Linked DNA regions of Stegostoma tigrinum. The protein of the gene in region 2 purifies or fractionates together with the protein of the main gene of each other region. This does not show direct contact. Links are inferred from orthologs where the notes say so. Each region holds a gene or a part of one and is shown on either strand. Other genes may lie near its edges.

Evidence for each region.
Region 1: the proteins of igf2bp1 (region 2) and stau1 purify together in Homo sapiens (affinity purification with mass spectrometry; 3 studies listed by BioGRID and IntAct, with this or other methods). This does not show direct contact. The link is inferred for Stegostoma tigrinum from reciprocal best matches to the Homo sapiens genes IGF2BP1 and STAU1.

The regions. Positions count from the first base shown.
Region 1 is NC_081372.1:32,626,070-32,642,129, reverse strand, and holds the start of stau1 (double-stranded RNA-binding protein Staufen homolog 1), read left to right. Parts: upstream 1-7,861; 5' UTR 7,862-8,049; intron 8,050-16,060. UniProt on the Homo sapiens protein: Binds double-stranded RNA (regardless of the sequence) and tubulin.
Region 2 is NC_081384.1:4,735,347-4,751,373, reverse strand, and holds the start of igf2bp1 (insulin-like growth factor 2 mRNA-binding protein 1), read right to left. Parts: upstream 7,538-16,027; 5' UTR 7,258-7,537; coding exon 7,083-7,257; intron 5,874-7,082; coding exon 5,813-5,873; intron 1-5,812. UniProt on the Homo sapiens protein: RNA-binding factor that recruits target transcripts to cytoplasmic protein-RNA complexes (mRNPs). This transcript 'caging' into mRNPs allows mRNA transport and transient storage.

The DNA.
Region 1 (16,060 bases), on a different chromosome or scaffold from region 2:
AGCTTTGGAGAGAGTACAGAGAATGTTCATCAGGATGTTGCCTGGTCTCCAGGACATTGACTATGAGTAAAGGTTAAGAAGACAATTGTTTTCACTGGAAAGGTGGCAGCTGAGAGGAGACTTGATGGAGGCCTACAAAATAGAGAGGCATAGATAGGGGGATAGATAAGCTTTTTGCCAGGGTAGAAGTTTCAATAACAAGGGGGCACAGGTTCAAGGTCAGAGGGGGAAAATTTTAAGGGAGATGTGTGTGGGGTGGTAGCAGCCTGGAATGCATGACCAGAAGAGGTGGTGGAAGCAGGCACATTGAAGACATTTAAGAGGCATCTTGATGGGTACATGAATGGAAGGGAATAGATACAGATTTTTTTTTAAAATGGCAGGTCTATTTTTAATTAATTAGGGCAATATGGTTGGCACAGGCCTGGAGGGCGAAAGCACCCATTCTTCTGTACTTTTTCATTTGTTCAAGATTTGTTTAATTGTGCAGTTGGCATAAAAATAGGTGAGAAGTCTACAGAAAAATATGACCAGTTAAGTGAGTGGGTAAAACTTGGTACACGAATTATTACATAGGAAAATGAGGTTATCCACTTTGGCAAGAACAATAAAGCAGCTGAATATGATTTAAACAGCTATCAATGACATGGGTATAGAGATTTAAAGGAAAAGAAGAAAATTATTCCAAAGCTACTTCAACATTTGTGTATTTATCTTGCCATATGTCGAAGATTGTGTTAAAGGATGCAGGGAACTTGAGGAATACAGTAAACTTAAGATAATGAAAAATATATTTTCAAAACAGACAGGGCAATTTCATTGTGTCATTAAAACCTCTCACCAATTGAAAACTTAATGAAACTAGTATTGGACCTCCAGTTTTAGAATAGACAATAATATTGTCTGTCTACATTTGTAGACAGAGACCAGATTTAATCTGCCAAGCCTGATAATAAAGACAAAAATAATTATCAAGAAAATATTTTTTTAAAAAGTGGATAACAGCAGGATTGGGAACACCAGCTCAATTCTTAATGAACAATGGAGAAATGGGGAATTCCGGAGTTTGTACGAGAATCTGGATGTTGTAGCCTTGCATGCAACAACAGGAAAAAAAATTTGAGAGAAATCACACTGATTACTAAAACGCTCTGAATAGGTTTAGCTGATATACGGAATTGATCAACAAATGCTTTGGATAGTACATGGTGTGGATAGTACATGCAAGAAGTATGCTTCGAATGGTATGATATACACCTCTCATAATTAGTTTATGACAGAAATCCTAAACTACCTTCAGAACTGTGGGATATTATCTCTATAGAAAAGACTACAATTAGTTCAAAATTTTTGCAGAAAATATCAGTGCTGTGCATTCGTTCAGAAAAGTATTCATTGAAGCAGAAGGTTTCTGAAAGGTTTCAGGAGTGCTTAGAGGTCATAATAGGCTGTCAAAAAAAAGAGCCTGAGATCATGGTGTATTATCCAAGGGACAACATTAGAAAACGTTATTGGTACTGATGGCAAAGCATCACAACCTAAAAAACCATTAATAGCACATTGTGCATGACTACTTGGAACTAACTACAAATTGACAGAACTTAAATCGATGACAAATTGAAAGTGCACTATGCACTTTGCGCATACACACGTAAGCTGGACCCTTATGGATACTTGATTGTAGCAGATATCAGGCTAAGTGCAGGTGGACCAAGTGATGGTGGTAGTAGAAACAGCAGGAAATGCCGTTAGGAAATTCTAGAATCCTGCCTGAATATATGAGAGACAGACTCAGGTCTATGAATTGACCTAATACTGATTGTAGCACAAGAAAAAGATCAAAAACTTGGGTAAGGAAGTCCGGTTGTAGGAAGGTTAGATCAAGGACTAATAGGCCAGGAGGTCCTCATAACGGTAAAGGCAAGAATGTATGAGGAGCACCGTACGAAGTTGGAGCCCTTGTCATAATCTCAAGTGACTACCAACTAATTAGACAGTAAATCGGTGAAGGCAGAGTAAACAATGCAACAGTTGCAGAGAGTATACCCATGCATGCCAGATAAAGGGCACCCAACATTGTTCCAGTTAGATATCTATGGAGAAAGTACTTCCTAATAATATATATATAAATCTATGCCGAGACTTCAGGAATTTGAGGAACAGTTGGGTGATAAAACAAAACAAAAGTAGACTGCTCAACAGCAGGAAAACTAAGTTTGAAGATTTTCCTAATGTACTGATGAAAACACAAATCCATTGCCAAAACAATACTTTTCCAAAAGAACAATTTTTCATAACAGAAATATCCACTTGAAAATGTGTCATACAAAAGAAGTTGAAGACATAAGAGATTAATGCACAAGATTAGAACATGGAATTAGGGGAAGTCTATTGTGATGGAGAGGGAACTGGTAAATTTCAAATTGGTAGGCAGTAACTAGCAGGATGCCACTGGGATTGGCGCTGGGACCCCAAGCTATTCACAATATATGTTAATGATTTGAATGAGGGAACAAAATGTAACATCTCCAAGTTTGCAGATGATACCAAGTTGGGTGGGAGGGTGATCAAGAACAAGAATACAGAGATTCTTCTACAAGAATCTTGACAGGTTGGGTGAGTGGGCAAATCAATAGCAGATGTAGAATAATTTGGATAAACGTGAGGTTATTCACTTCAAAAGCAAATTACCTGAATGGGAGAGGGGAGTGTACGGTGGGCCCAGTCATCCTTTTGCACCAGTTGCTGAAGGTAAGCATGCAGATGCAACAGGCAGGAAAGAAGGCAAATGGTATGTTGGCCTTCGTTGCAAGAGATTCTGAGTACAGCAGCAGCCATGTGTTGCATTTATACGGGAGCTTGGTGAGATCACATTTAAAATATTGTATGCAGCTGTGTTCTCTTCTGAGGGAGGATGCTGTTTTGAGGGAGTGCAACAAAGGCTGATTTTGGGGATGGCGGGTCTGACGTAAGAGGAGAGACTGACTAGGTTGGGATTGTTTTTGCCAGAGTTCAGGTAAATGAGGGGGTATTTCATACAGACTTAAAATTCTAACAGGACTGGACAGATTAGAGCAGGGAGGACGTTCCTGATGGCAGGTGTGTCCAGAACCTGGGATCATAGCATGAGGATTCAGGTAGACGATTTAGGATGGAGGAGGTGATGTTTCTTCATACAGTGGTAAGCCTGTGGAATTAATTACCACAGGAAGCAGTTGATGCCAAAATGTTGAATGTATTCAAGAGGTGACTAGAGAAAGCATTTGGGGTGAATGGGATCAAAGGTTATGGGGAGAAACCATGGACAATCAGCCATGATGGTGATGAATGGTGGAGCAGGCTTGAAGGGCCAAATGGCCTCCTCCAGCTATCCTCTAATCTGTCAAATACAAAACACGTTAGAAAGAAAGGAAATTTCTAAAATAAATGGTCAGTGTAAGCCACCAGCTATTGGATTATTTTACAAAAATGTTTGTTCAAAGAAATTGTTGAACATTTTTGAAGTGGGACACCCAGAATTTGAATTTTGAGAATACAAGTATTCATTGTAATCTTATTGACTTTTTTCAAATTGGAATTATGGAGTATGTTAAGGATATTACGTAATGTTTTCTTATGAATGAGCTTTTGTTTGCATATTAATTTATTTATTTTGGAGAAAAAGAGGGATGTCTGTTCGTGTCTAATAGGTTCAGGTGATGAGCATTAAATACCTTGTATTTAAAGAAAATAAGGTAGACAAGTGTTGGGTACTGTTTGGTTATTTATACATAGATGTATTTAATCCCTTCCAAATACATTTTAATTCAGAATTCTCCTCTGGATCCTTCAAAATTTTGAATTAATTTTTTGTGCCCCTCGGGTTGTTTTACTTTCATTTTGTTTGATAATGATAAAATCTGGATTCCTTTAAAAAAGAAAACAGCTAGCATTTAGGAAGGGATATTTAGAATGAAGATGTAAACTCTGCAGCATGCAAGTCTCGACCAAAGCATCCTAGTCTCAGTGCATTCTTCACAAATAGGCTCTGTGGTCCTTTAACACACTTGCACAAAAGTTAATAACTCAGAGCACTTCAGTCAATTGTGCCACCCATACTACTATTTCTAAAATAGACAGGGAAAACACAATTTTGGAGTCTTCCTAATTTGTATGGATCAGAAGCTGCCATTCAAATCTAGTAGCAAAGCTGCATAATTTTATATAGGAAGGTATAAATCTATGTATGCCTCAGAACTTTCACTAGAATGTAGTTTTAGTCAGCAATATATCTAAAATACATAAGAGAATCACCAAATTTAAAGGTCTAAATCACATGTGTAGAGTATCTTTGAATAACAGTTTGTACCTAAAATCAATGAAGACAACCGATGGTGAAGGTAGATGAAGCCAAAGCTTAGTTGTGCAAGGGCGCTGTTGGAGTTAACTGAAACTGACATTTTACAGCAGAGAACTATTTAGCTTCCTGCTGCTTAACACATAATATTATCAATTTAGTATTTCATTATAGGCTTATTTTCATGCATGTAAAATGCCAATTCCAATCACTCATCTTTTCCCTCTACACTAACTGATCAATTGTTCACCAGGCTCTCACTCAAAAATAGGACTGCACAGTCTGCCATATAAAAATGATTTAGTTTTGTTTTTAACTTCCATTATTTTAAGTGTCAGTTTAGAACCACTTTAATCCCAAATAAACCTTTCCAAAGGAAGATTATCTGTAGTTAGTCAAAATACAACTAATACTAGATATGAAGCACTACTCGCTGTACCCAAATTGACCTTTCCAGAGGAAGATTGACAGCATACCAATTTAATATATAGTTGATTAAAAACCAAAAGAACTGTGGATGTTGTAAATCGGGAACAAAAATGAAAGTTGCTGGAAAAGCTCAGCAGGTCTGGCAGCATCTGTGAAGAAAAAAATCAGTTAACCTTTTGGATCCGGTGATCCTTCCTCAAAAAACACATCTGGATTTAAAGCCATACCACAAGTATACATCAGGTATTTCAAATGAGGAGCATGGTCACTAGCAGAATACATCATGAAATGACTGAATGCATTGCCATCATCCTCCAGGCAGGTACAAGTGGCAACCTTTCCTTTTGTAAGATTATAGTTTGTGCTGTGCTTTGGTTCCAGTTGTGTTTGCTGCAGAAGACAAGTATGCTGATTAAGTTCATGATCCTTACCCCACCCAGTCAAACAAATTAACTCATCTCTTGCAAAGTTCTTCCAGCCAGTCTCCAAAGATCATGGCTATCAGTGACTGTCACCTAGTTATCAATGTCCATAATTTTCTTATCTCACTTGCAGATTGCCTTGTTTCAAGATTTCATAACTCAGTAGCTAATTCACCATACAGAAGGTGTTTTTGTATACTGCTGGCCATCCAAAGCAAACTTTAATGACCTAGCATTGAGGAATAGTGATGGAATTAGTACATCCCAGCACCTCTGAGTTGGAGACTATGAATATGTCTGAAACAGGTAATATCAAAACCATTTGGCTTTTCCTAATACCTGCATACTTTATTAAATTTTCACCACTGTAGAGGATTGCACTGAGGACACAGGCTTGGGAAGACTTAAAAAGTTTAACATGCTCAAGTTGTTGTTCACACTCTTACGTGGAAACTGAATAACAGTTGCAGCTTTTGTAATCTGTGTTGATTTCTGCATCAAGTAACAGATTTCAGGACTTTATGTAATCTAGATAATGTGAAGCTATCAACAATCTACTGTGTTCAAATCACTGATATTCTTGGTGTTCATCTCCAATGAGATTTATCTCTGTTAATGCAGATTTTTCACCATTTAATGGATTTTAGTGGATCATTGTTATTGTCCAGCCTCCTATGAAATTATCAATGAACTATAAAACAAAAAAATACCCATAATAATGGTTCATACATCATATAAACTTAGTAATTGATATTGATTTTTTGAATTATACTGGCATTTATGGCAGTTGGTGCATTAATTTTGCCAAATGCAGTGTATTATCAAATTACGTGAAAAGCTCAATGTTGCTCTAAAACAAATATAAATTGTGCATAGCGAATATTAATCAGAATTTTGATATTGTGGTTTACTCTAAGGTGGGTATCCCCATCAAGACAGCCATTACAGTTTTTGGAAGATAGAAATGACTATCAATGCAGCCCTAGAAACTTTTTCTCAATCCTCAAAACGGTGGTCTTCTGGACAGGGAAAGGATACTAAAAATCTAGAAAAAAAATCCTACTAAACATTGCTGATCTGATGTTTTTCATTCAAAAGATATTGTGGCATAAAGCAACACCTGCCCTTTATTTGTATAAATCCAGAAAGTACATCAACTGATGGATGTGCAGCCATGTAAGTGAAAACGAGGGTCGTGGGAAATGCAACAAAATGAAAAACGTGCGATTTTGATCCAAAATTAGTTAAACAATTACCTTAGACAACATACGTACCATTATTTTTCCAAAACATTTCAGGACATGAAAATGTAATGTTCTTTTTAAGTAGAATTACAGGCCGTACAATTGTGTTTTGGAATGATGTTATCGTTTCACTACTTCTATTACAAGTTTTGCGAGAACAAACAATTTTCTTCTTACTCATCCGCAAACGCCTATCCCATTCAAGGTCGGCCACTGTCGCCAAAGTCAAATTTTGTTTCCGAATAATATTAGTTGCACAAGAGTGGTTATTTAAGTCTTAACTTTTACAGTGTGAGTAACTGGTAATGGGGATACCAGAACTAATAAGGAGTCAGGGCTATTGCCATTCTCATCGAGCCAGTTGGAAAATAGATTGAAACACCACCACAAACTTCGAGCACACAAAGCAGGTTACCGTTGCAATGTAGTGTCGGAAATGTCATTCAGGTTGGACGTTAGTGATAATGGGAACTGCAGATGCTGGAGAATCCAAGATAATGAAATGTGAGGCTGGATGAACACAGCAGGCCAAGCAGCATCTCAGGAGCACAAAAGCTGACGTTTTGGGCCTAGACTCTTCTGCAGAGAGCTGATGAGAGCTCTGATGAAGGGTCTAGGCCCGAAACGTCAGCTTTTGTGCTCCTGAGATGCTGCTGGGCCTGCTGTGTTCATCCAGCCTCACATTTCATTATCCTGGTCAGACGTTAAACCAGGTCTGAGGAAGGGATCACTGGCCCCGAGGCGTTAACTGATTCTTCTTTACAGGTACTGCCAAACCTGCTAAGCTTTTCCAGCAACTCCTGTTTTTTTTTGGCGATAACAAGGTGTAGAGCTGGGTGAACGTAGCAGGCCAAGCAGCATCAGAGGATTTTCGGGTCTCCAACATCGGCAGTTCCTACTATTTCTGCTTTGTTTTTGGCTCCTGATTTACAGCAGCCACAGTTGTTTCGGGACTTTTTTTAAAAAAAAATAGACGTTACACCAGCCAGCTCTCATATGAAAGACCAGATGCCCCTGTTGTAAGTAAAGTTTTGCACTTGTCGGAGGTGAGGCAAACCACCTCATCAGTGGCACTTTAGTTACGCGCGAGATATTTTCTCCGTACCGAAGTTTTTAAAAAAAACGCAAAATACTGCGGACGTTGGAGATCCGAAACAAAATGCAGAAAGCGTTAGAGAAACTCAGCAGGTACCGAGTAGCGTCTGTGGAGGGAGGAACCGAGTTAGCGTTTCGAGCCCATCCCCATGGCAAGGTCATTTCTGAACATCGGTGTTGCATCAGATAAACCCTAGTGTCAACTGCAGTGACTGAAACGCTGTACGTTACCAAGGCGACAGTGCGTGGTCGAGTCTCCCGCACACGCCCTCTAGCCACCGGTTTAAAGGGCAGTAAGGGGGCGGGGCCTCTGGTGGACGCGGGACGTCAGTTCCGGTGGCGCGCGGCGTTCTGGGAAGGTGAAGCGGTTAAGGTCGGTTCCGCCGCCGGTTCGTCCGATTCTCTTTAGTGTTTGCCGTGTGTCGGCAGCGGGAAGCGGCTCTTCTTTCCTGCTTCGCAAGCGAATGGATTGACTCGTTTCTTCAGAAATTCGGCTTCAAGCTCGCTTTTTTGAAGAAAGGAGGTAAGTTTCGAGTGAAAAGTAGAGGCCGGAGAGGAGGCTACGGGGCAGCGGCCCCCAGCGCTCGGTTTGTCCCAGGAGTTGGGACCCGGCGGATCCGGGCGAGAAACTCTGGAGGAGGGCAGTCTGCTGCGGTGAGGATGACCAGGCCCCACTGCCATCTCGTGGGCCGTCTGAGACCCTTGTGAGAACCCTGCTCCCCCTGGAGTAGACCACCAGCTCAACCCGGTTGGTTTTTGAGTGCTGATCTGTCCCATATCATCTGGTCAGTCCAAACTCAGGGCCCATAGTTTTCCAAAATTCTGACAGCTTCCATCATGCATCCATTTTCCGAAAGTTGGTAAATCCTGAGCAAGTGTTAACAACACCACCTTCCCCAGAGTATGCTAAAGAAATGTTATCTGCCCGAATGAAAATAATTGAAGTGTTGTCATTGGCTAAATCGTGCTCTACAACTGAGAATATCCTAAAATCTGCAAATTACAGACTTTTGGAGTGTAAACGTATCACATACCGTCATTAGCAAAGCTCTTTACCCCGATAAATCAACTGTTTGTGTCTTTCCCAACATCCTAATGAGCAAGTTTGGAGCACCGTTCCCTTTTTAAAAAAACTTTGCATACTAGTGTTAGATGCCTAAACTGTGTTCCCCTCTTCATGTGCATTCCTGATCCTCAGATATGGTCTCCAAATTCCAAGCGACTGCTTTTGGTTTTATTATTTCATGGTCTGTCTCAAGTTGTGAGCTTTGTTTTGTTTTAAGAAACATCTTTTTAGTAATTCTTTTTTGTCCATGAATTATAATTCTGTATTGGCTGGTTGGAATGTACACAAATTAGCAGTTATATGGATTTAAACTTTGAGATTTTCTGCTTCAGTGCTCTCCAGATTGTTGATTTCCTGCTTGTGTTGATTAGTATATTGGTTTCATGGTAATTGTGCAGGCATTACACTATAAAATTGTTGCAGTTAATGCTTGTGTTGAATTTTCTTGGTATTTTGCAGATGTAATCTTCACTAACAGAATTAGGAAACCTGATGTCCCAAGTTACCATTTGTAGCAATTACACATCAGAAGTTTGTGGGAAGTTGGAGATTGACAGGACTGGGACAAATGGGAGGTTGAACATTATTGTAGAAGTTATGATGTATTCTGAATTTCTAAAGCTGTTTGGCTAGGCTATGTGTCAGCCTACAAAGTGGGATGGGCTCACTGAGTGTGGCTAAGGTGACTATTTTAAGAGGCTTAAAGGATATGAAGAGGCAGGAATGTTTTGGGAAGCAGCAGTAAGGGAATGGTTAAATAGTCAAAGGCAGAATTGCTAATGATGATCAAAGGGACCCAAAAAAAAACTAAAATTGGAAACCTCTGTGATGTGTTGCAGGATTGGTAAGTGTTAGAGGAGTGGGCAAAATGAGGTTTTTCAACAGTAGGATAAGATTTTTGAATGTGTTGCATTAACTAAAGTGTCTATAGATCAGTAATGGTAGGATTATATGCAAACAAAGTCGGGGGTTGGATGTGGTCAGTAAGGATTTTGAATGAGCTGAAGTTCTCAGATAGCTAAAATTTGGAGTGACTGTGGCATGGGTGGGATTTTTGGAAGGTTAAGATTTAGATATTTTTAGGTTCTTGCTAAGCATATTAAAGTTACCAAATCAAGGTATGTGAACATTGCGGTAAAAGACCAGCTATGATGCTGAATGATAGAAGAAACCTGGGTTGAATAGCCTAATCCTATTCCTGTTTGCTTTAAATACATCACAGGTGGTTGAACCTTTTTATCTTGTTTTAAGTCCAGTAGTGTATTTCTGCCGGCACAATCACTGAACAAACGGAATTGCCCACTGTACTCTTGATCACCTGTGCTTTTTGTTGATGACTTACTGTGACTTTTTTGCTTATTTACTTCACCCCATTTCCTCTTGTAATTTCTAATAAACTTGCCATACCTGTTGGCAAGGGTTGTTCCTTTTGCAATTGATTATTTGCATTTGAAGTGAAAGTTTCTAATTTTTGATACAAAGCACAACCGTTTTCAATTGTGATGTTAGTTAAGGACCAGTATGTCATTTCAGAGAATAAAATCTCCTGTGACAAAATTAAAAATGGAACAGAGCTCTCCTAATGCCCCATCAATATTCCATTCAACCAAAGCTATTAGAAGTAGAGATAAGTGTGAAGCTGGATGACCACAGCAGGCCAAGCGGCATCAAAGGAGCAGGAAAGCTTGACGTTTCAGATCAGAAGGGTCCCAACCCGAAATGTCAAGTTTTCCTGCTCTTCTGAAGCCGCTTGGCCTGCTGTATTCATCCAGCTTCACAACGTGTTATCTCAGATTCTCCAGCGTCGCCAGTCCCTACTATCTCTATCAGAAGTAAATTTAGCTATTCAGTCACTTGATATGAACATGAGAAATAGGAACGGGAGGAGGCCATTCAATCCTCGAAGCCCATACAGTGAGATGATCAACCATTGCTGAATCTACTCCACACCATTTTCTTGCATTGTCCCAGTTTCCTTTGATATCATTAATATGCAGAAATGTGCCAATTTCTGTCTAAGCTTCCACAACACTGGGGCAGAGTATTCTGAACATTCAGCACCCACTGAAGAAATTCTTTCTCAATTCTGAATGGCCTCACATTATTCTACAACTCTTAATTTTTAATTTAATTTAATTTAATTTAATTTAATTTAATTTAATTTAATTTAATTTAAATTATATTAGATTCCCGACAGTGTGGAAACAGGCCGTTCGGCCCAACAAGTCCATGCTGCCCCTTGGAGCATCCCATCCCCCCCCATAACCCACACACCCCTGAACACTATGGGCAATTTAGCATGGCCGATCCACCTAGCCTGCACATCTTTGGACACTGTGAGGAAACTGGAGCACCTGGAGGAAACCCACGCCGACACGGGGCGAATGTGCAAACTCCGCACGGAGAGTTACCGGAGGCTGGAATCGAACCCGGGTCCCTGGTACTGAGACTGCAGTGCTAACCACTGAGCCACCGTGCCGCCCCTCTTGTCCACTGGTTTTTGACCTCCCCTTGCAAGGACAGACATCCTCTTGAATCTACCCTATCAAGCCATGTATATTTTATATGTTTGAATGCGACTATACTTCATTCTTCTCAATTTTATAAAATAAAAGCCTAGTCTGTTTAATCTTTCATTATAGTGCAACCCCCCATTGCAGAAATTTGGTGAACCATTGTTATACACACTCTTTGCACTCTTACCAAAGATATACTCAAAAATGCACAAATACTCCAAGTGTGATTTCATTTAAAACGTTATGTATTTGCAGCAAGACGTTTTTGTCCTATACTCAATGCAATTGTAATTAAGTTTGGGGTGGCACGGTGGCTCAGTGGTTAGCACTGCAACCTCACAGCGCCAGGGTCCCAGGTTCAATTCCAGCCTCGGCATCTCTATGTGGAGTTTGCACATTCTCCCAGTGTTTGTGTGGGTTTTCTCCCGGTGCTCCAGTTTTCTCCCACAGTCCAAAGATGTGCAGGCCAGGTGGATTGGCCATGCTAAATTGCCCTTAGTATTTACAGGTGTGTGGGTTATAGGAGGATGGGTCTGGGTGGGATGCTTCAAGGGGCGGTGTGGACTTGTTTGGCCGAAGGCCCTGTTTCCACACTGTTGAGAATCTAATTAAGGCCAGCACACCATTTCCCACTTAATTGCTCACTATACCTATGTTGTCAACTTTCAGTGACTCATGAAAAAGGATATCAGTGTCCTCTTGACATTCTCTACTTCCCAGCTTCTTGATGTTTGAGAAATATTCTGTTTGTTTTTCCTACCAAGTGGACAATAATCCATCTGTCAAATGTTTGACCATGCATTCAGCCTCTGTTGATGTCTTTGCGTGCCATCATGAATCCCAAGCAAAATTTTTGTAAATAAGTTTTCTGCTATCAGTCAAAAGTAATCATGGGTTTTAAAAATACTTCAGGATGTCCTGATGGAATGATAATTCAAGTCCTTGCTTATCAAGAGATAATCTTTCACAATAGACTGATGTAGAACGCTAGTGGAGGCAGTAGAGTGAAGCGTTGGGATCTTATGTTCGTGAGATTATGTTGCCATGTCAGAATAAAGGCAGCATCATTCTGATCCATCTTTTTACAACTGATATGACTTAATATCTTAAATGTGTGATTTGAAAAGAGACAGTAGGTATGGAATGCTACAAAAATTTGATCATGAACAGAACTGGATCAAAACCAATTCACTGACCAGAAATATTTGCTGCCATTCTTTGTAAAAGTTGGTGAAAGTCACAATTGCAATACAGATATCTGTTGAAAATCAATTTTGCAGTGCCACAAACCTGGATTAGCCTGTACTAAACTACAATAGAGGTCAGCAGGGCCACTGTTTCATCAAGACTAAACAAATCAAATTCCGTTTTTGTTGCAGTGTGATTCCAAAATTTTGTCTTTGTTTTTATGATGTATCCAAGTAATATTTAACATAATTAATCTTACTGAACCGGGCATGTTTAGTTTGCACTCCAGGTCATAGGTCTTCACTGCTGGTGTTGTTTTTGGAGTTTCTTCAGAAGTGCCATCCTTTTATCTTCATGAAAACCCAGTCCTTGATAGTAACTAGTATCAAATCTACAGGAATATGGTGACTTGCCCTATGGATTTATGCTGGTATCTATGGGTCAAGGACTTCAGTGTGTAGAAAGTCTGGACCATCTGGACTTTCTGTTGGTGCAGAGGAGGTTGAGTTGATGGGACTGATCAAAATCACAGATGATTTTCCCACAGACAGTTTAAAAAAAAAAAAAAATTTGCAAGCCAAAATGATCAGTTGTTCAGTTGTGCGGCATCACACATGGATTTAAGGTAATTGGCCAAATGATCTGAGATGACACGAAATATCTTGCAAACCATTTCTCGCTTGTGGTTGGGAATGTACTGTCAGAAAAGATAGTGGAAGTCGATACATAAGCAATGTTGAAAAGCAAATTTGATAATTGAAGCGAAATGCATTTGAGTAGCGGTTAATTTGGGTTATTGTACCAAAGGTTTGCAAGGACAGACTACACATTTCTATGGTGCAGTATATAATGCTTTGATCAGTCCATTTGGAGAGAAGACGAGATAGGCTACCCTTTTTCTGAAAACACAGGAAAGGCAAATTGAAAGCGTATTGATTGCCATGATTAACAAATGATGACATATTGTTAGGTTGACCTGTTCGTTGATCTTTGTTTCGCTCCCTAGTATGAGAGCGTCTAAGCTTTGATTCAGTTTTTTAGCTGTCATTGCCTTGATAGCATGTATGCTGGTGAAGACAGACAGAGGTTCGTTGTGGTTGAACAGGTTGCTGTGAATTGGAATGAAATTTTGGAAGAGAATGTTCCAAGTTCATTTGAGCCTAAACCTGATCTCCTTACTGAATTAAATCCAGTAGGAACAGTATGGTGTGCTAATCTGTGTTCCCACCTCTTTTTTTGTTTTTTTGTTCACAATTTCTGCTCTTTTCCTCTCCTAAAGTTCCTTGGTGTGGTATGCTTGTACTCAGCACTTCTAGCAGGTGTTACCAGATAATGACTCAAACACATTAAGATCATTAATATCTGGTACCATCCCAATGGAAATGCCCTGACTCAGCAAATTAAATTGCATATAACACCTTTATAGAACATAGAACATAGAACAGTACAGCACAGAACAGGCCCTTTCTGTGGCCTGTTTGCATAATGAATATATTTGTTTTGATTTTTCATTGGAATTTTGTGTCATAGAGGTGTACAGCATGTAACGAGGCCTTTTGGTCCAACTTGTTGAAAGTTGCTGGAAGAGCTCTGCAGGTCTGGCAGCGTCTGTGAAGGAAAAAACAGATGCTGCCAGACCTGCTGAACTTTTCCAGCAACTTTGTTTTTGTTCCTGACGAACGACATCCGCAGTTCCTTTGAGTTTTATTTAGTTGTTCATGTTAGCCAGGTATCCTTAACTAATCTAGTTGCATTTTCCAGTATTTGGCCTCTATCCCTCTAAACCCTTCCTATTCATATACCCATCCAGATGAACAAAGAACAAAGAAAATTACAGCACAGGAACAAGCCATTCAGCCCTCCAAGCCTGTGCCGATCGAGATCCTCTGTCTAACCTGTCATCTATTTTCTAAGGGTTTGTATCCCTTTGCTTCCGGCCCATCCATGTACCTGTCCAAATACATCTTAAAAGACACTATCATGTCTGCGTCTACCACCTCCGCTGGCAACGCGTTCCAGGCACTCACCACCCTCTGTGTAAAGAACTTACCACGCGTATCTCCTCTAAACTTTCCTCCTCTCACTTTAAACTCATGACCCCTAGTAATTGAGTCCCCTACTCTTGGGGGGTGGGGGTGGAGGGGAAGCTTCTTGCTGTCCACCTTGTCTATACCCCTCATGATTTTGTAGACCTCAATCAGCTTCCCCCCTCAATCTCCGTCTTTCTAATGAAAATAATCCTATTCTACTCAACCTTTCTTCATAGCTACTGCCCTCCATACCAGGCAACATCCTGGTGAACCTCCTCTGCACCCATTTCAAAGCATCCACATCATTTTGGTAATGTGGCGACCAGAACTGTATGCAGTACTCTAAATGTGTCCGAACCAAAGTCTTATACTGCTGTAACATGACCTGCCACCTCTTGTAAATACCCTGTCCAATGAAGGAAGGCATGCCGTATAGCTTCTTGACCACTGTATTGACCTGCGTTGCCACCTTCGGAGAACAATGGACCTGAACACCCAGATCTCTCTGTACATCAATTTTCCCCAGGACTTTCCCATTTACTGTATAGTTTGCTTGTGAATGAGATCTTCCAAAATGCATCACCTCACATTTGCCCGGATTGAACTCCATCTGCCATTTATCTGCCCAACTCTCCAATCTATCTATGTTTTGCTGTAATCTCTGACAGTCCCAGTCCCCTTCACTATCTGCTACTCCACCAATCTTCCTGTCATCTGCAAACTTGCTAATCAGACCACCTGTACCTTCCTCCAAATCACTTATGTATATCACAAACAACAGTGGCCCCAGCACAGATCCCTGTGGAACACCACTGGTCACAGGTCTCCAATTTGAGAAACCCCCTTCCACTACTACTGTCTGTCTCCTGTTGCCTAGCCGGTTTTTTTATCTGTCTATCTAGCACACCCTGGACCCCATGTGATTTCACTTTCTCCATCAGCCTGTCATGGGCAACTTTATCAAAGCCTAACTGAAGTCCATGTATATGACATCTACAACCTTTCCCTTTTCAATCAACTTGTTACGTCCTCAAAGAATTCTATTAAGTTGGTAAGACATGACCTCCCTCGCACAAAACCATGTTGTCTACCACTGATAAGCCCATTTTCTTCCAAGTGGGAATAGATCCTGTCCCTCAGTATCTTCTCCAGCAGCTTCCTTACCATTGACGTCAGGCTCGCCTGTTGCTAATTACCTGGATTGTCCCTGCTGCCCTTAAACAACGGGACAACATTAGCAATTCTCCAGTCGTCTGGGACCTCACCCGTGCTTAAGGATGCTGCAAAGATATCTCTTAAAGCCCTGGCTACTTCCTCTCTCGCTTCCCTCCATAACCTGGGATAGATCCCATCTGGACCTGGGGTCTTGACCACCTTAATGCTTTTTAGGATACCCAACACTTCCTCCTTCTTAAAAGATGCTTTTTTAAATATTGTTTTTTTTTAAAACCAGCCTCCACCACTACTGGCAACTCATTCCATACACACATCACTGTATGCTTGAAAAAGTTACCGTTTGGGTTCTCTAGTTTTGGACTCTCCCACCCCAAGGGGAAATACTCTGGTTCTTCACCCTATTCATGCCTCATGATTTTTATAAACCTCAAAGGTCACATTTAACCTGTGGTCCAGGGAAAATAACCTCAGTCTATTCAGCCTCACCCCTATAGCTCAAGCCCTGCAATCCTGGTAACATTCTTCTGAATCTTTGCTGAATCCTTTCAAGTTTGACAG
Region 2 (16,027 bases):
TCCAATTTTTGATCAATGCCTTAAAGATGTTCAAGATAATTTCTTTATCCTCCTCCACTACTCTGCTACCTCGCCTTAGCAACATTCCTCCCTGTCTAGTAGTCTTAAAGGGATTGTTAGCTCAACTAAAGACGATTTCATAAAGCTATTCCCAATGACAAACAAATGCAGGCATGTGTTTGAAATTTTGCAAAGAGCAAAGTCAAGAAAAGCTGTCTAGCATCCCCCTGCCCCCACCTCAGTAATCATCAATGTGGATCGTCTAAATTTTCGGAAGAACAATCCTGACCACTCACCTCACTAATCTGTGCAAATTATTTTCCTTTGTACGTTTTTCTTGCACTAAATTTTTCTGAATTATTTCAAGAGAGCCTGTCTGACTTTTACAATCTGAAGCAGATCTGTTCACGATTGTTGTGATTGGTCTACTAAACTCCGCCATTACTTTTGAAGGAATTAAACTGGAAATGGATTCAAAACTAAGAAACTGGCTCAAGGCATTCAAGAGGCTGCACTGGGATAGCTAAAGTTTTGTACAAGCTATATGGTCTCACAACCAGGAACCTAACAGGACCTCCCAATTAATAATGCACCTTCAGAGTTGATATTAAATCGTTCTTGCTTTCTCTCCTTCTTCCGCTCAGCGCCACCACCCCCACTAAAAAAACCAACATACAACTGACTTCACATTCTGCGTGCAACCCTCAGTTCCTTTAACAATGGTTCAAAGGTTATTCTGTTTGAACAGTGAATATTTCCACCTCTGGCAGCACTTTTTTAAGAGATAAAAACTTGAACCTTTATTACATGTGGCCTAAGAAATGTAACCAAATCAAATATCTTCCTTTCCACTTCCCCCCCTCCTCCAGCCCGACCGAACTGATCCACTAGGCTCAATTAGACTATGTGACAGTCCTGACACCACCTCTTGACCTTCTGTTGTGTGATGAGCATATAGATTAGGAATGCTCTACTTATTGAACTTAAAAGGCCTGAGGGTGAGGGGTGCACACGGGAGGGAAACTGCAAATTACAATGAGAGTGGGGAGTGGGGGGTGGGGTAGCGAAAGACACACACACACACACACACACACAAGTGTGCACATGGAAAGAGAAAACTTCAAAGGGCTTTTCAGATTGAAACAGCTTCTTCCCCCCTCCCCCACACACACAGACACATTTCAGTATTTAAGAAATGTGTAACATTATTAATTTTCTGCAGGTTTTGAGTGAAAGGGAGAGAGGGGTTTCAGTAACGCAGCTCTGGAATCCATTTAGCAGTATAGGGTATGTGCTTCCAGTCTGGGTCAAAGGTCATGCTTTGCTCAATAATGACCTATGCAGAAACGAGGAAAGGCTTATGCCACCATTTTGTGTGGCAACTTAGCAGGAGGATTTGTTTTTTAAAAAATGGATCTTACTTTAGTTTTCTTTTTACAAAAGCAGACAGTCACCTATTCTGTAATTTAGGAAAATTCAATAAAGTCATTTGCTCCACCTTGTCAGACAAAAGAAAAACAAGTTTGAATCACAGTATATAACACCAATGGGGATCCTTTCCATTCATAAAGTCAACAAACTACTACAGCTTGGCAAGAGTTTCTTAGCCACAAACAACTCCTACCACTACTTGAGTTGTACATAACGAATCTACAAAAGGCCTCAGCACCAAACAATGCACGTTTCCACTTAACTGTAATAGATTTCCTAAATTCTGCATAAGATTTTAGTCTCATCAAAGCTGCAAGTTGCTGAAAAATGAGGAAATAAATCTTAGCTTTAAAAGTGGAAGTCTATGGAAGTTGCTTTTTTTTGCTATTTTTAAGGATGCAATTTGGTAGGCAATATTTTCCCTTCCTTGCCCAGTTCCGTGCATACTGGGAGATGTTAGAATCCTCATTCAAGTAATTATTTAATTTGTAACTTAAATTTGTCTCCAAGTGTTTGCAATGTAGCCACCCATGAAGGACACCACATATAAATCCAATTCTGATTTAACCCAGTAGCCAGAGATTCATCCTTTCAGGATGAGGTACTGATTATCAAGCAGAAGTGAGAATCCTCGGCAACTTTCCTCTTAAGGATACCAAGGCCAATTGTGCAGCTCTCCACCACACCCTCTCCACTCGACTGGCTGAGACCAGCCAACTCAGCATAAATTAGGAGTGGAATTTGTTCCTGACCTCTGTTTATCTCAGCTATTCTGGATAAAATCATAGAACTCTTATCAAGCCATTTCTGTAAATCAATGAAACCATTATTTACTTCTTTTTAAAAAAGTTTTCTATGTCTTGATAAGTCAGCATTGCAACAGCCTAAACCTGGAATTTTTCAAACTATTTTCATCCATTTGTGTTAATCATGGTAACTTGCCAAACATTCAAAAAACTTAAGCTACTTGAAATTACAAATGAAGACATCAACCATTTCCTTTGTAAATTGTATAGTCCATTTTTTCTAGCAAATGCATTGGTTATTTTGATGTTTGGTTGTCTTTTGTTGTAATATTTCCTTGTTTCTTTTAATATTGAATTTCAAAACTGGAATGAAACTTTCTCCATAATTTTAAGTATGACAGTCATTTCAGGATCTACAAATTATATCAATTAAACATTACACAGTGAGATATATCTGCCATTTCTACTTTACAGACATTAGGGTAAATTGTGCCAGATTGCTTAAAGTTATATGTTTACTTTAAAATGTTTTTGTTTGATTTCGCAAAATATTTTAGAACATAACCCATGAAGTCTAATTCCTTGCAAAGTCTATTTTAAAATTAAACTTCTTTTTCCTAAATTTCAATTACTATTTCATTTTTTATAAATGTTATTCTAAATTTGATTATGAAATTGATTATGCTAAACTTATTATTTCCTCATTTTATTTAAAGATATAAAAAGTTACCTTTCTGTAATTGTAATAAAAGTGGTTAAAGAGAAACAACAGAGTCTTTATTTTTGTAGCTGAATGGGCTAGAGTGAAATTAATGTTTCAAGCACCATCAATGTTAACCTGTCTCTTCCCTTTTCAGATGCTGATAGAGTTCCTGCATGACTGTGTTTTCTGGGTCGGGGAGGATAAATTGATGGGAATGGAAGTATTCTTTAAGCAAAATGTTTAATGATGTTTTCCCTATTCTGAAGTCAATGCTTCGTAAGTAATTTCAAGAAATTCATATTTTTAACACCTTTCCAGCATTTTAATCAATACATTTTTTTTACTGTGAACAGAGTTGCAAGTGTTTGTGACATTTATTTTTTATTACGTTTTTGTATGGTTAAACATGAAGTTGTTTTTGTTCATGTATGCGAGGGTGTAAACTTAGTTTGCTGAATTTTATTAACTTTTTTGTCCATTGCCAGTTTATTTATCTTAAAGTAAAGGATATTAGAATGATAAACACTATAATACTCATTTTATTTACCAAACAAAATCTCTCTAGATTCACAACTATTTCTTAAGAGTCAAATCCTATGAATAGAATTCAGTCAGTACAAAATTTTGTAAAATTACACTTGATCAATGCTAAATATGTTCATATATAAAATGAAAGTTTCTACACTTCTATTACTGAACTCTTAAGTTACTTGAAACCATTTGTAACAATCGAAAACACGCTTGAAGCAATAGGTTTGTACTTTTGTTTTACAAATGTTCTTATGAAATACAAGAAGATATCCATTTTTCTAATGACAGATTGACAGCAAACACAACAAAGTTAATTTCACTAAATCTATTATAAAATTGTATTTTATCTGCCTTCAGAATTTCAGCAATTTATCCTTTCAGTAAATAGGATCATTGAACCAAACATTTAAGTACACACAGACAATACTCCATTGAGTAACAATGTTATTTCATTTGAACTTTTACTTAGATTTCTATATTGATCTATTTAATATCTATTTTCACAGTTTTTTTAAAGAAAAAGCTAAAACTCCAATGGATATTACCACAAACATTGCATTTTGGATCTTCAGAATTTCAAGCAAAATTTCCACAAAAACAATTTTAAGTGCTTAATTTTTAACAAAACAAAATAGTTACATCTCTTTCAGGAAGACAGGATGTTAAGGTTTCATATGCAAAGTCTTTAAATTTTGTAAATGTAAACATAATAGAATATTTTAAATAAAGCAGTAAAGAATGTAGGTAGTTCACCACCACCAAAGAATTGAATTTTAACTGTTGAATTTTTTTAACTAACTTGGGCAGTAAAAACAATAAATTGTGTTTGCAGTCTATATATTTAGTGTTTACTCATCATTCCTTCCAAACCAGGTTCATCAATAAAGAACAAGGCAAAAGGTTCTTAACTAAATTTTGAATGTTCTGATCAGATTTTTTAAAATCATTGATTATAGCCATGACAATTGACTTTAAATTATGTTTTGCTGAATATTGTAACTACTTTTCAAAACTTTCAAATTGGCTGATTCAAACTTCATCTTCAGCCTTTTGAAAATACAGAGGGGGGGGCACAGTTTGATTTACAAACCTCCATGGATTATATCTAACACACCAGATGATGTTGCGTTACAAAGCATACAACTGTCTGGTTAAAATGCTAACATGGAGGACAATAGTTGCAGCTAAACCGAACTAATAAATTGCTCTCTCTACTCTATCATTTTAAATACATAATAATATGAATTGATATCAAGTGATTATTTCTAATCCAGTGCTTAACTTCTTTTATGGTATCTTTTGAACCAGCACTTATAGACATTTTACAACAGGCACTATCCAGTTTATCAGAATAAGCAAAGATACACATGCACCAAATACTTTAAAGCAAGAACAAGCAAATACTTTTACAGGTATGTCTGTAACCCAAACCAGGTTCCACACTGAATAGCCATCATGTTAGATTCTGGGTCAATGTTTTAACTTGGGTTTCTGAATGAGAACTCAGTCAAACTTTCTTATTGGAATTGTGCATCCCGTTTTGTAAAAGGTCATGCATGGCAAAACACATCAAACAGAATTCGTTAACTATTGCACTCAGAGCAATATAGGGACATGAAAATGCCAACGTGTTCGCACAGTTCTGTTGCAAAGAATCCTTAGTTTCGAGACAACGCGTCCCTTAGCGATTCAAAGCGAAAATGGAAAGGGTGGTAAAGAAACTCGGAAGATTGATTTTCCCACTGCCCCTTCAGCTCATTTCTTGCAAGCTCTCTCCCGTAGGTCGAGGCGTTCCCGGAATCGGCTTTGGAGTCAAATGAGATTTGAACCCAAAGCAAGGCTTCAGCGTTTGCAACGTGATCTACTTGAGCGGTTTCGCCAAAGGTGGGGGGTTGGGGGTGGGGGTAGTGTTGGAAATGGTGCATCTCTAACCGTCCACCCTCTCCCCATTCTCAAATCGTGACCTTTTAAATTTCTGAGCAGAAAAGCGGGAAGAGCTCGTTAAAGCTACAACAAAAATCACTGGATCCAGCTCCTCGACACTGAACCTATTTTGTCGCCCGTCGCTTTAAATCTCCAGAAAAACACATTGCAGTTCCAGCCGCGGGTTGCTGCCCACAATTGCTGCACTACTTCGCCTCAATTCAAGATTGTAATAACATCATATAGATTCAGGAAACAACTAATTTGAAATTTGTTCCATACTGCAGCACAGTATAACCACAGTTTTTTAAAAATAGCTTCTCTGAAGAGCTTCACAACTTTGTACGTCTATTTTATTTTAATCACACACACTTTCAAGCAGGAACCAGAAACAAATGTCTAATTCACTTCATAACAACTCTCCAGGATATCGCCAAATAAATATTCAAAGCAAAACAAGTATTGAAATTGCTAATACCTCTGCCGCTTGGGTACTGAGTGTTCCACTTCTATGTGTCTCCCATGGAGTTCCACTTTACCTGTAAACAAGTTCGATTTGAATTTTATTTAGTAAAATAGCGTTTCGCCTTCTTCGTCTACACTTGTACAAACACACTGGGTGAAATGAACCCCTGTTTTTATCAGGATGGATTGTCATTTTTTTTAAAAAGAGTGTGAGGGTTGAAATCTGTTGTGCATAATTGAGGATTAATTTCCTTAGTAAGTTACTGAGGAACTTTAGGATGAGGTCGCTGCTATGTATATCCAACACACATGGAAATACATTATATATCGGACCTGAAAGTTATATTTTATCTGGATAGCATAGGGGTTTTCGCCCTAGACATTTGCATGCTTGCAGTCCTATAGTATTTTCACAATCAGTATGGCCGACCTCGGCTCTGTGTGTGCCCCATCACAGGCTGTATTCAATTTCAGGAATCATTCAGAGAGCTGGGGGCGACCGGCATTCACTTACAGCCGCCGTTTTGGGGGGCCAGTCAGAGGGAAGGAGGGATAAATGTTACCCGGACTGGTCGCCTGAGGAAGGGGAGGGGGTGTCGAAGAGACGAGAGACAGAATTAAAACTGCTAACGTGGTATTATAACGGAGCTTGCAAATGACGGCCTACTATCACTAAGGGGAAGGACTAGCTAGCATCGAACCATTCTCTCCAAGAGACACCCTGATCCAAAGGAAGGGGGGGGGGGGGGGGGTGGTGGGAACCAGATCCCGCAGCAGATCCAAAGATCTGACCCAACTGGGTTTCCTTATCTGCGATTTCTTCCCAAAGGACGGAATAGCAATCTGACTCTTCCTCTATCTTTTTTTTGGTCAAACGCCGCGTGTGTTGAGTGTAATTGACTAAAAAAAAGAGAGAACCTGCTGGTTTCCAGAAACATAAAGCCCCCTCTCACGTACAGGAGGAATTGGCGCGTCTTTCCCACCCACCCCCACCCCCTATCTTTACATTAAAATCTCTATTATCTATCTTTCTGTACAATCAACATGTCACGCTTTTTGGGGAGGGAGTGGAGGACTCGAATCATTAACGTGTTGGTCAGAAATTAAAAAGGGACCAGTGCAACTCTCTCCAGAACAGAACCTTTTCCTAGCCTGGAGGAGTAGGAGGTAGGTAGGCCATTGCTAGGAACTGGGTAGGAACACAGAATCTCGCCGAGTGAACGGCGTTCTCAAGACAGCTTCAGCTCTCCCCTGCGTTTTGGATATCGGTTGAAATCGCTTACCGGATAAGGTATCGATCGCTTTCATTGCCCAGCTCTCATCTGGGCAATCTACAAAGGCATAGCCCGCTTTGAGTAGAAACTGCCCAGAAAAAGGAATCTTCCAGTCGTTGAAGATAGTTTCTAACTCTGGCACAGTCACGCTCTCACTCAGATTCCCGATGTACAGCTTGTTCATTGTGATTCTTAGGGCTTCTCTGTTTTTTTGGGGGGGTGAGCAAAGAAGGGAGGGTGTAAAATTATAACAGCACCTTCGAAATAATGATATATCCAACAACAACAACACAAAAAAACCCCACCAGCAGCAGCAACTAAAATGGTAAACGGTTGTTGCAAAGGGAGGAGAGAGAGAGAAAAACACAAAACGGCCAAAGAAAAAGTGTTAGCCGGAAACAGGGAGTTATGAAACGGTATGGCGGGCTGTGAAAGTCTATCTGCTACCCCCAAACCCCGTTGAGTCAAACTGAAAATGTCACAGGACGTTGCTGGTGGCACCGCCTCCAAATAAAATCGACCTTAAAAAATGAGTGAAATATTTGCCTGGGAGAGGTCCACGTGGTTACACACGGCCGGCCCCTCACGTGGAAGATCACGTCAGTTTCACCTCCCTCCGAGCCCCCCCCCCCCCCCCCCCCCACCACACACAAACAAAAATCCCTTTTGTTTACTACACAACATCACCCTGGCTGCTTCTCCCTCCTCACCACCCCCCACTTGCAGAGCCCTTCACGCCAGTCCCATAATAACGTGGGTTTGTTCAATAGCACTGCAACAGCGCCCAGCTCTCGCCGGCTGCTGGAGGATGTTTACTCAGGAGGGATTTTTTTTGAATGAAAATCTCCTGGGTGGTGGCATTTTTTTCTCAATGAGCTATGGCGATCTGGCGCCAAAGTTTTCCTCAGTCGAGGAGGCTTTGGGGGAGAGTGGGGAGGAAGGGGGTGGGGGCTCGGCTTCTGAATCTTATAACACTTTGAGCTTTGATGAAAGAGTTACTGGTTGGACACCACTACGCTCACTGTCTCCTCTGTTCCGTACCCATCTGCCTGCCATCCGTTACAGCCAACACAAGCTCCTTCAGGAGTGGAGCGATCAGTTCTAACTCCAAATAAAAGAATTAATTAATATCGAAAATTACCCATTGACCTTCGACAGGAAGTGCATTTTCACAGAAACTCTCTATTGGAACGAATTCCTGACTCACCAACACCCAAGTGACTTTCCAAGTGTCCTCCCATTCTGAAACTATTTCTTTGAGGAGTGCAGGGCATTGAGTGAGGTGAATGTTATCGATTGTTTTAATGTATTTTAAGTATGATGAGAAGTGTTGTGCCCTTCATCTCTACAATCATTCTCGATCCACCGTTGCTCGGTAAGCTAAGAATTAATTGGTTCATCACATACAACAGCAAAAAAACCCACACATCGCCCCGGGATGTGAACGGGATTGAGTTCATTTCGACTCCTACAAGGAGTCTGCTCGGTTCCCCGTAACTTTCTAAACGAGCAGGAAACTCTGAATCCACACGGTTTAGAATTGATTTCTTCTAGTTCGCGTTTCTGCAGAGGTATTCTGATCAGGAGTTTACAGTCCTTACAACAGTCGCATAGGGTCAAACCATAAAGACACAGGAGAGCAGTGGCTCAATATTAGTCCCTGGGGCTGAACCGACTCAGCAATGTCTGAAAAGACCGCCTCTGGGCGTCCTGTGAGGGAATCGCTGTAAAAGATCTTTCAATGGGAGAGATTTTGATGTTGAATGACTTTATCAAAAGAGCTGTACCCATTAAAAAATATTCTCCCAACCTCTGCTGCTAACTTACCATCCCTCTAACCACTCTCCGCACACCCCAAACTTACTGCCACACCCATACCTCCCCACATCATCCCCGCATTACCACCTACATCTCCAGCCACCCACGCCACCTATCAGTTGGCACGAGGTAAATATTGCACATTGGAACCGTTCCCATGTTCTCTGAGGGTGAAGTCCACGACACAGTTTAGAACGCAAGTCTCCGACGGAATATTTAGGCAAGTTCGTTGGGAGATCATTCGTGAACTTTCGCTTTTTTTTCTCTCTCAAACATGTGTCCAATATTCCCAAGGCCAGAATCCAGAAGAACATCAAACCAAAAAAAAAGTTCTGCGAATGCTGGAAACCAGAAACAAAATCAGAAATTGCTGGAAAAGCTCAGCAGGCCTGGCAGCATGTATGGAGAGAAAGCAGAGTTAACGTTTCGTTAAAAAAAAAGCAAAGCCGTTCTGGGGAAGGATCATTGGACCCAAAGCCTTAACTCTGTCTTCTCTCCATAGCGGCTACCAGACCTGCTGAGTATTTTTTTCCAGCAATTGCTGAGGAACGTGTTTTACAGGAACTGCCCTATAATGTGGTTGGAAACAAAACTGTCAACATCGAATACCGAGCGAAATTTATTCCAGAGAGAAATCATAGGACGTCAGGACGTTGTTCTCTCAAGTTAGTTACACAGTTCTATACAATCTCCATATACAAGCTGCTATCTTGTAACTTGCCCGTTATTCGTATTGAACAAAGGAGCTCCATATGTTCAACAATGATTACCCATGATTGGAGCAGTGGGAAATATAATCTCACACTGAGTGATCTTTACATTTTCTCCCTTTTTTTTAAAGAGAGGAAAGGATTGAGGAGGTGGCAGGATGGAATTGAGCTCCAGATTAACCATGCTCTGATTTTAGAGAGAAGCACATTCAAGGGACCGAGCGGCCTCCTCCTGTCCAACGGGGCCCCCCACCGTACCGTGCCCCCCACCCTCCCCATTCCATTCTCACGGATTACTGACTGCCCTGTGAATAACGAAAAACGACACAAGATACCAGGTGAAGCAAAACTGCAACTATCAGCAGGTTACGCGGCAGAACGCTCCACATTTCAATTTAATGGCTCAATTGCACAAAGACCAGAATTCGGTAAGGATCACTGTTGGATTCCAATAGATCTTTGTAAAAACCGGAAGAACTGCGGTGCTGTAAATCAGACAAAAAAAGTACAAAAACTGCTGGAAAAGCTCAGCAGGTCTGGAGGGCATCTGTGGAGTGTAATCACAGTTAACGTTGTCATTCGACTCGAAACCTTAACCGATTTCTCTCCACAGATGCTGCCAGACCTGTTGAGCTTTGCCAGCAATTTCTGAAGAACGTGTTTTGCAGGTCCTGCTCATTAATGTGTTTGGAAACAAAACTGTCAACATCGAATACCGGGAGAAGCTTATTCCACAGAAGAAGAAAGTCACAAGGGAGCGGGAGTGGGTCATTCGGCCCCTCGGCTTTCTGTTACTATTTACTATTCAATAAGATCATGTCACCTCAGCTCTGTCTTCGAGTATTACTCGCGGATCCTTTCCTTCTAATTGTGTCTAAAAATGTATCGACCTCTACCTTCAAATACTAAGCCTTTTGGAATAAACTGTGTTTCTGTTCTAATATATTGGCCTGTCGAGAGTCGGCAGCGTTTTATTGTAGCCTAATTAGTAACTGTCCCGCCGCCGCCCCTAGCCCCGTTCCCCGAACGGGAATATTGAATCCAGAACCTTGCGGACCAGTGTCCTGCTGAACGTTTTATACGTTATCACCGTTCAGATCAGTCACTGGAATGGGTGGACCTACCAAAACCACATTGCTGTTTGTGGGATCTTGTTGTGCGCGATTAGACTATGTGAGAACTGAACCGGTCATGTCATTGACTCTGGTCCACCTTGAAGAGCCTTGATGTTGAGAAAGGCGCTTTAAAGATGTAAATGCTTCCTTAAATGAATGGATTTGGAAAATAAAGATGTGTCTCAAAGGGACATATTCGCCACATTTCCCCCGGCCAATTCAAATTTGCCCAGACGCGACCCACAGTGTCTGGCGATGGGGTACGGGGTAAACTTATCTGGCGAGAGTTAAACACCGCTTGGCATTAACTCAGTGGCACGTACCTGTTGCAGGATGTGAACTCGACCCATTTGGATCGTGTAATTACACCCGCAGGGATGCAATAATGATGGCTCCCGTGGCTTGACTTGTGGGGGAGCCATAGATTGTTTCATTGTGAAAAGAGATCTGGACTTGAAGAGCGCACAATATGCTGTGATTACAATTTAGGTTAAAATATGTTTTTTGTGTGTGTTTGTGGTTGTCATGGGCGCGGGGGTCGAGTTGAAAACTCGCAGAGATCAACAGTTTCGCTCTTTGCGCTGTTAGTGATCATCTGGACAATAGGTTGGAAAAGTGAAGGGAAAGAACTTCACACGTTAAATGTTGCGGGAACTTCAGAAATCAGGATAAATAATAGGGATGGGAGGACAGAGTTGGAAGCAAGGGTGTGAAGAGAAAAGTTTGATATCGTCGCCTTAAATCTACACATGTCCCTGATGAGTTTAACCACTCAGCTTGTACATGAATGGGACTGTGGAAGCTGAGGTACAGTAACTGACGTCGCGGAGTCAGTGTCCTGTAGGAGCGGAACAATTTGATTGTTACTTGGAGACAAAGTTGCGTTTTAATTATACTGAACCAAATAAAACCGACTTAGAAATTAGTTTGGAGGCAAGTCTTAATTATTGTTAACAATTGGACGTATAAAACCGTCAGTGTGCACCTCACTGGAAAAAAGAGTTGCAGAACATGAGACTTTACAAATAAAAACACGTTCTGAAGAAGGGTTACTGGACTCGAAATGTTAACTCTGGTTTCTCTCCACAGAAACTTCATTTGCTTCGAATCGGAATTCGGAATCATTTCGTTAGGGTAGGCACGTATGAGAGGAATGTTGTGCAAAATGAGAAGGGCCTGCTCAAATCACTCTGTTGATGATCGCTTCGTAAATTCCCCAGAGTAATTCTACCCCAGATTGTCTTTGGACTAAAGATCTCACTCGGAGACCATGCACTTGAACTCTGGAAACTTCTTTGACTTCTAACTAGTTAACTGGTAACATTTTAATGAATCGCCTTAGAAGAAACTCGACTCAGAAATCTAGACAAAATGATGGACTTCAGAGACAACAAATCTGTCAATGGAAAACTTTTGTTTAAAATGATTGTTCGAAGTCAAAATTAAAATATTAGAAAGGAACACCAACATGTCAAAAAACCACAAAGGGATATTGACTTTTGCTAAGTTCATTTCACGAATAGAGATATAGTTTTTAAACGCTAGTAGACATCTGACCAGCTAAATAAGTACGTGCTCATATTGCTCCTTATGGGAGCTTGCTGTGCGCGATTTTACTGTCGCTTTTGCTACAGCAGCGACTATACCTTCATCGATAGTGAAGCGTTTTAGGATGCCGTGAGACTGTGAAAATGACATACAAAACTTTGTCTCACTAATCCCAAGATTCAGTCAATCCTAAGTTAATTCTGCTACCTCATGCCTATACAGTTGGTTTATTTAAAATATAAATCTATCTTTATATGAATCGTTAGATATTCTTTGAACCCAGACTCTGAAGTAAAGTCACAGTTCGTGTTGATGCCAATGGGGAACGGACCGTCCTTTTCAAACTAAATCCAATAAACATTGAATGGGGTTATTCAGAGCTCTGGATATGAAGCAAGGCGCAGGATGTCTGATGAAAGAACGTCGCGGAGGACATCACACATTCAAAAGAACCTTGTTTATGTTTAATGCATTGCAAACCAAAAACATCACTTAAAGCCATTAACTTTTAAACAAAATTCAGTTTTGCGATGTAAAAAGTGTGAATGAGGATAGAAATTGGGCAGACTGGGGTACTAATCACAGCAGAGTTTGTTAGGTCTCCGATGCTCTCTCCACAGATGCTCCCAGACCTGCTGAGTTTCTCCTGCACTTTGTTTTCTTCTTAGATTCCCAGGGTCCTCAGCGGTTTGCCTTTAACGAAGATATCTTGCTATAACACTTTTTACATCGATTTATTCATGCCCTCCCGTCTCCCCATACCCAGATCGGGAAGGTATTGACGGCTTCTTTCAATTCCAGTCCTCTCAGCTATCAGGAGCAGGTTTTGTTCAGTAGGATTTTGAAGTTGCCACGGGACACAGGTAGCGAAGGTCGAATTATTCCATTTTTGGAAGTTAAATTTGGTTTTGAATTCAATTCATAATTAGATGAGTTCGCAGAGTGTCTCAACAACAATCAGGGTCAAACCCCGAGCTCTTTCCTACTATATTAACTCCGAAACTAATACAATATAGGAGCCGTAGGCCATTCGGCCCCTCAAACCTGCCTCGGTCTTCGAAAAGATACTGGCTGATCTGCCCCGCACTTCAATTCTTTTTTCGTACCAACTACGTTTAGCCTTCAACTCCTGGCTATTTCCAAAATCTAGCTACTTCCTCGAAATATCTTTAAAGATCTAACCTCCACTATTCTATGGGATAGCAAATTCCAAACATTCGCTATCATTCGAGAAGAAATTCCTTTGCACTTCAATTTTAAACAAGTGCTCCCTTATTCTGTAACTGTGTTCCCTATTTCGATATTCCCCATGATGGCAAACATCTTCTCAACCTACCGCATCAAGATCTATCAGAATCTTGAATGTTTCAACAAGATCACCCTCATTCTTCTAAATTCTAATGAATAAAGGCCTAACCTCTTTACCAAAAAAAAGGGTTCTGACAAAGGGACACTGGCTTCCAAACTTTTAATTCCGTTTTTCTATCCACGCATGTTGCCAAACCTGCTGAGTCTCTCCAGGAATTTTGGTCATTGTTTCAGGTCTCCAGCATCTGGAGTTCTTTATTTCATTTTAGTCTAAACTGGCCGTTCTTTATCAGTCAACCCCTTCATCCTAGGTATCTGCCTCATGAGTCTCTCAAACAGCCTCCAGTATCAGTGTAACAGAGATAATGGGAACTGCAGATGCTGGAGAATCCCAAGATAACAAAGTGTGGAGCTGGATGAACACAGCAGGCCAAGCAGCATCTCAGGAGCACAAAAGCTGACGTTTCGGGTCTAGACCCTTCATCAGTGTATCCACTTAGATACGAGACCAAAACAGAACACAATACCGCAGGTGCAGCCTCACCAACATCTTATATTGTTATAGTAAGAGTTTCCATTTTAAATACCGAACCACAAACAATAAAGGCCAAAGTATTCGCCCTAAGTATTTGCTGCACCTGCATTCTAACTTTTTTTTGTATTTCACAACAAGAACGTCCTTATCCCTCTGTGCTGTACAATGTACTTTCCAGTTCAACAGTCTGCCTAATTCTACCAAATTCTAATGGTTTAGCTTCAAACAGAAATCAGAAAAGTCAGATAGATTTTACTTGAAAATCAGAAGAAAATTGATTATATAATGGAATGTAATATAGGAAAATGTCAAGTTATTCACCTTAATAGGGGAAAAAAGTTGAATATTCAAATAAAGACTGCAGAAAGCCACAGCACAGAGGACTTTGGGATGCTGATGTATTAATCACAAACAGCATACAAACTCAACTGTAATAAGGAAGGGAAATGCTAGCCTTTATTTCAAAGAGAATAAACTATTAAAAAAGGCTTTGCTAAAAACAATAATCATACTAATCAGACCACACCTGGAATACTGTGAACAGTTTTGAGTCCACTTTCTAAAGAAAGCTATATTGACATTGGAGACAGCCTGGAGCAGGTTCCTGGGCATGGAGGAACTGTCTTATGAGGAGAGGTTGAGTAGGTTGGGCTTGTACCCATTGGAATTTAGAAAAATGAAAGGCATTATTGAAACCTATAAGGTTCTAAGGGGACTTGGCAGGTCAGATGTGGAAAGGTTGTTTCCTCTTGTGGGAGAGCTAGGACCAGAGAGCATAACCTCAGAATAAGACAGAATGAGGAGGACTTTTTTTCTCTCAGGGGATTTGATTTATTATAGTCACATGTAACTAGATACAGTGAAAAGTTTTGTTTTGCTTGCATTACAGGCAGATCATAACATACAAAGATCATAGAATTATTGAACAGAGTGAGGAATACAAAGTTACGGCCACAAGAGGTGGTGCACAAAAAGGTCAACATTAGATTTGCAATTTGAGAGGTCCATTCAGAAGTCTAATAACTGTGGGGAAGAAGCTGTTCTTGAACCTGTTGGTTTGTGTGTTTAAGATTTTGTACCTTCTGCCTAATACAGCAGATTATAAACAGGGTGGGAGAGGTCTTTGAAGACGTTGGCTGCCTTTCCACGGCAGCAAAAAGTGCAGTTAGAATCAATGGTCGGAAGATTGGTTTGTGTAACGGACTGGGCTGTGTTCACAACCCTGTGATTCGTGGAATTCTTCACGAAAGAGGGCTGTTGAGCCTGCGATCTCTTATATTCAGGGCTAAGATATTTTAATCAGTAAGGGAAACAAGGGTTATGAGGAAAAGATAGGAAAATGGCATAGCCATGATGTCCTTTAATAGTGGAACACATTCCATGAGGTGAATAATTTGCTTCTACTTTTGGACCAGCTAATTCTCAGCCTTTAGAAGCACAGGTAAGAGGAGTTAGTATATATTTGGCTTTGTACGTCCTTTTGGGCTGAATTGTCATTTTTTCTTAGTTTTATTCAGCAAGTTTTTTACTATTGCATTGTACATTACATACTTCAATGCTCACCCTTTCAAGCTATTTAACTTTTAACTGTTATTCCTGGTCTGGGAATTTAGTGTTTCATATAAAAATGGCTCCTTGAGCATTCTTTATAAACTCCCTAACTCCAGACCCTAAATGATGTGCCACTTGAAGCTCCTAAGGCTTAAAGGTAGGCAGAAACAGTGATCTTACAATTTCATCCAAATTTTAAGAAGTACACAGGAGAGAAGTGGCTATAATGCAAGGCAGATGACACGAGCCTGCGCAGAATGGTCAAACTGTAGTGCTTTCTAGTTTTAAGGATTACTTGCACTGCCCTCCTTCACGGCCACTGGAACACAATGTCAGACCCCTTTTTAGATGCAGTTTTGAATAAAAAAG